Linked DNA regions of Kluyveromyces lactis. The protein of the gene in region 1 interacts with the protein of each later gene in a pairwise test. Links are inferred from orthologs where the notes say so. Each region holds a gene or a part of one and is shown on either strand. Other genes may lie near its edges.

Region 1 (3,029 bases):
GATATATAGGCAATATTTTCCACCAATTTGGAGGAAGCCTGCAATGTATACCTTGGCTAATGGTACGAAAGTTGAGCAAGATATGACTTTAGCATACGAACCAAAACGTTTTTTCAACGATCAGGAGTTTACATGGAAAGTCGACCCCTCACAACAAAAGGGTGATGGTGAAGAACCAGAAATTGTGACTGTAAGAAATTTGAGTAGACGAACATACCCAAGCAATAGTCACGCAACTATATAGTACCCAAGCATACGACTATCAACTGTTCTTTTTTTCCTTTCTATTTATGCTTTTCCTTTTCATCTATATCAAAAATAAAAAGTGGATCGAAAGTAAATATCATTTCATCATCGAAGTTTACTTCCAGTTTTAAAATATTTGAACAAAAATATTATGTCACAGGATATGTGATAGAGGGTTTCAACTCCACCCCAATTATTTAAATGAGATATTTATAAAGTAAGTGAAAGAAATTTGAGTGAGTTTAAGCTTCTCAGCTTCAAAATTCTTCCCATCCGTCTTCTCCTGAAATCTTCTTTTCTGAAGTTTTGTTTTGTGCCGGAGCTTGGGTATGCGTTGTTGAGGTAGCATCTGCCCCGTCAAACAGTTTCGTGTATTGTGATGAGGTAGCAGGTCCATCCTGTGTTTCCTGTAATTGTTGTTGCAGACCCTTTGTGAAAGAGTTGAGAGCTTGCAGTCCATAACTACTGGATTCTTGGAATTTTTGACCAAACTGCTTGGCAGCCCTGACTGCCTCTTCAGATAGATCTTTTTGTGAGAATTGTTCGACATTTGGTTTGATGATAGATTCTTGAACTTCTTCCATTGATTTCGACACGGCTGAAGAAAATAGGCCCCAACCCTTTGTGAAAGTGCCAAGCGGGTCCTTTTGAAAGTTTTCCAAAGTCAAGGTAGTAGAGCCAGGTTCAGCTTGATTTCCTTTCTTATGTTGAATAATAGGCGTGTTTCCGAAACCTTGATATTTACCACCTTGGGATGGCGGTATATGTTCTGGTTTCTGTAAGTTTTTCTCACCGAGTGTAGCGAAATAGGATTCATTTTTCTCCTTTTGGTTTACTGCTTCTTCAGAGCCAAGTTTTTCAGACAATGAACCATTTAGCTGAGGGGTACCGGACCTAGAGTTAGTTGCTGTAAGCTGGGTTGGGTCAAAATCAGAGCGATCAGGTTCTTCCCATTCTTTGCTTTCACAGATAGCAGTTAGTTTATCTTTATAATCCGAAGCAATAACGTTATCATACTTCAACTTCTGAGGTAAACTCGAATCAATCCCATGGTCTTCCAGATACTCAGTAAATTTGTCATTACCACCGTTTTCCATTCTAACTAGTTCGTCTGATTTGAACTGATCCATAGTGATGGATCTAACGAAGGAGATGTGCACTCCTAATCCTCGGTGAATACCGGCACATTCCAAACAAATGAAAACACCGAATTTAGGCGAGGCCCATTGTGGATTATGAGCCCCACAGTCAAGGCATTTCTTGTTTCCACCAACTTTTTGTAACTGTAACAACCTTCTCCTGTTATCAGGATCGACTTTCCACTCTGACATTGGATCTAGACGGAGAATTTGATAATGATTGTAGTGATCAACTGGAAAAAAAAGAAACACAAGCTTTAAATTCTCAGCTCACTGATTTAAATTGTCAAAAGTGTTATTGATGGCTCCTAACACTTCAGGCACTATCGATAGTTCCAATTCTTCTTAATTGACTTTTGCTTTCCAGCCACAATATCGAACAAATGTTCTACCCCAAAACACAAACTAACGAACCAACACTTAACCTCTAAAGCGTGTCAATACTGTAACAAATATCGAATGATTCACAACACAGATGCTGAGCCCTAATAATCACACTAGGAAGCAGAAGAAACACACGGGTACGTCAGAAACCACAACATTCACCGATTCGTTGATTCTCATGATAATAATCAACATGCTAAATTTCGATTTTCACCGGAAGGTCTAGATTTGAATTTTCATGCAAAGAGATAGAGAAAAAGCCGCCCATGCCCGGGTAACAAATGTTCTTCTGGCTTCGGAAATGAAAGTATTAAACACGAAGCCTGACATCCTGTCTCGAAAAGTTGCGAAACAGCTCGGTACCGGTATCATTACGTTGTTAAAGGGGCGATATAATGGTTGGAACTTGCGTTTTGTTTCTGGAGTGCATTGTATAAGAGTTACTGAACAACTACTAGCATTTTAATAAGCTAATTAGATCAATCAGTACCCGGATAATTTGTTACCCGGACAGAAAATACATCCTTCTCCGCTCTTTATTCAGCAGCTGTAACCTGATAATGCCACTTCTCTATGGCAATTATATAGTCAGACTTGTTAAGCCCGTAAGTAGAAGTAATGATCATCGAATTCAAATGACTCCATCTCCAACTAGGAAGCTAAAACATATTCGCAACTTAGGGGATTGCCCTTTTCTTAGGGTGTTAGTTTGAAATTATCTTCGCTGTGTTTATTGTATATATATATACTGGTGGGTAAATACTGCTAGGTCAACATTTTCTAGATTTAAGGGACATATACTTCATCACTTCGATGAATTGTGACAGGAATTGAGCATAGAGGTACGCAGAAACAGTATAAGAGAGAATGCCTAACACTTTAGATAAAACTTTTGTTGAGAATGGGCCGTGGAAAAAGGATACGTTCCATGGCAAGGTCGTGTTTGTCACCGGAGGGGCAGGAACGATATGCAGGGTACAAACAGAAGCAATGGTGCTTTTAGGTTGTAAAGCTGTAATCGTTGGTAGAAACCCGGAAAAGACGAGGAAAACGGCCCACGAGATTGGACAATTGGTCCATGATCCACACTCTTGTTTGCCCATTTCAAGCGTCGATGTCCGAAATGTGGATCAGTTGCATGAGGCTGTTAAAGTGGCCATTCAAAAATTTGGTAGGTTAGATTACGTTATCGCTGGCGCTGCTGGTAACTTCTTGGCGGACTTTACACATCTATCCTCGAATGCTTTCAAATCAGTGGTA
Region 2 (2,148 bases), on another chromosome or scaffold:
TATTTATATGTTTATACAAATTTGAGTATTAGGTACATTTTCTTTACCAGTATATAACCACATAGTGGTAGACGGGAATGAAATGCATTTCTATTCATGTCAGAAAAATGATGAAGCATGGCCAAATTAATGCTATAGTTCTGAGAAGAATAAGTTTATCTGCTAGATTTTTTAAGGTAAACATATATGATCAACAGAAATGCACATGCAAATGTCCCGGTCTAAATAGCATGTATCAAAAAGGAAAGAAAAAGCACAGAAGCTACTGTTAATGCCAGGCTTCCATGACTAATCCATATCGCATCTTTGCACAATTTAGATGGCATCACATGGTCTGATGGAATATCGTATAGAGTATCGGATTGATTTCGTATCATTAAAAGTAAGAATCGTGATAAAGCAGGGACAAAAAAAAGCATAAAACTGTAGATGAACGGGTTTCAAAATGAAATAAAACAGGAACCTTTGAGTTCAACCCTATGATAATCTTGAGGTTGATATTCATCCTATTCATTTAGAAACTCTAGCTGAAATGAACTGCGATAGGAACGATGATGACAATCAAAAGTATAATTACCACTAGAACCAAACACATTCTCATCTTCAAATCTTTCCACCACATTTGCTTTCTTACTCTGTTGGCCCCTCTTTTGAAACCTTGGGCGGACACGGCCAAATTGTCAGCCTTGTCTTGTATCGATGTTAGCCTTTCACCACGTTCGGCAACTTTGTTAATGTTATCTCTCATAATATCGACGGTATCATCGATTTCCTATTTGTAGAGACAAAACAGACAGACGGACAGCAATCGTCATGTCGTTTCAACTCAAACTGTTAGTATCTTTGAAGTTCATATTAGAGCTAAAGTAAAATAGTTAAATGCATTTCAAACATACGGATTTCAAAGCTGCAGTCTTTGAGTCACCTGCGGTCTCTTCGGTAGCAGGGACATATGGGTCGTATGGAACAGATGATGACATTGTTGCTTAATTATTTTATACTTCTCAGCACCTAAGTTCCGGTTCAATTGATAGCAAACTATTATTTCACAACTACTAGTCAAATCTCACTGCAAATTGGTTAGTACTTTTGAAAATGGTTCAAATCCACCATGATAAAGGTTTAAAAGCCTGTTTGTTCTTTAAATTAACTTCTAAATCTATCCATTTTTCGATTTGCCGTTCAAAAAACAGTACCGGGGACAAATTGCCACCGTCAATAGTGATTAGGATTTGAATCTATACGTGCATAGTGATTAATGGTTTGTGAATCAAGACACGAAGCCTTACGCGTAAATGATATTTTACTACATAGACAACAAAACTATGTTACATTTACAATCTAAATAATCCTCCGCTAAAGCACGTCATGGCTACTACTATAAGGCTAATATCAACTAGAACATTTCGACAAATGTTGCAGCTTCCTTAACGATGTACAATCTCCGAGAAAGAAGAACAAGATATTTTAAACAACAGAATGGTGTAGTGCGGAGGAAGCAACGCTCACAGGGCGATTCATGTCTGTCAGAAGTTAGCTCTGTTAATACACTTGTCGATGATGATGACGATGAAGGCGTTTATTCTGATTCAAATTGTGGAGAAGGTGAAGACCCGCACTTTTCATCTTGTGAAGAGAACACTGAAATGTATCCAAAAGATGACGATGATGATGATGATGATGATGATGCAGGTGAAATCACGAACAGTAAATCAATCCCAACAGAACCTCAGAATGAGTCTGAAAAACCTATGTTCAACAGAGCAACATAAAACGATTCCTCATTCGAAGCTCGACAGAATGTCAATAATTGCAAAGTAGCAGAACAGGGCACGACCATGCAACAATCAATTCGTTCATCTTCAGTAAATGAGCATGGAACTGCTATATCTCAAGAACTGAATGGTTCTTTACAGTATACTGGTACTGTCAATATTATCCAAACAATTTCGATTCCTTCCTCAAACTGGGACTACTCTGGGAGTTCAAAAAATAAACCACATGACACTTTCCTTCAACCTAGCGACTTCCACGGTTATGGCAGTTCAAGTGACTCAGATCGAAACATAGATTCAAAATCGACAGCCATCCAGCGAAGCGAAACACATGCTAACGAATATCTCAGATCAGAAGCAGCATTCAAGAGGA

What was found. The genes of interacting proteins can lie anywhere in the genome.
Region 2: the proteins of SPS18 (region 1) and KLLA0_A03883g interact in a two-hybrid assay, tested with the Saccharomyces cerevisiae proteins (2 studies listed by BioGRID). The link is inferred for Kluyveromyces lactis from reciprocal best matches to the Saccharomyces cerevisiae genes GCS1 and SNC2.

The regions. Positions count from the first base shown.
Region 1 is NC_006040.1:1,593,108-1,596,136, reverse strand, and holds SPS18 (Sps18p), read right to left. Parts: upstream 1,578-3,029; coding exon 504-1,577; downstream 1-503. Other genes in the region: KLLA0_D18964g (phosphatase PAP2 family protein), read left to right, coding at 1-244; SPS19 (2,4-dienoyl-CoA reductase (NADPH)), read left to right, coding at 2,637-3,029. UniProt on the Saccharomyces cerevisiae protein: GTPase-activating protein (GAP) for ARF1 and ARF2. Involved in intracellular vesicular transport. Required for transport from the trans-Golgi network.
Region 2 is NC_006037.1:343,474-345,621, reverse strand, and holds KLLA0_A03883g (uncharacterized protein), read right to left. Parts: upstream 981-2,148; coding exon 897-980; intron 773-896; coding exon 524-772; downstream 1-523. UniProt on the Saccharomyces cerevisiae protein: SNC1 and SNC2 are vesicle-targeting proteins essential for normal secretory traffic between the Golgi and the plasma membrane. They may also be involved in vesicle fusion.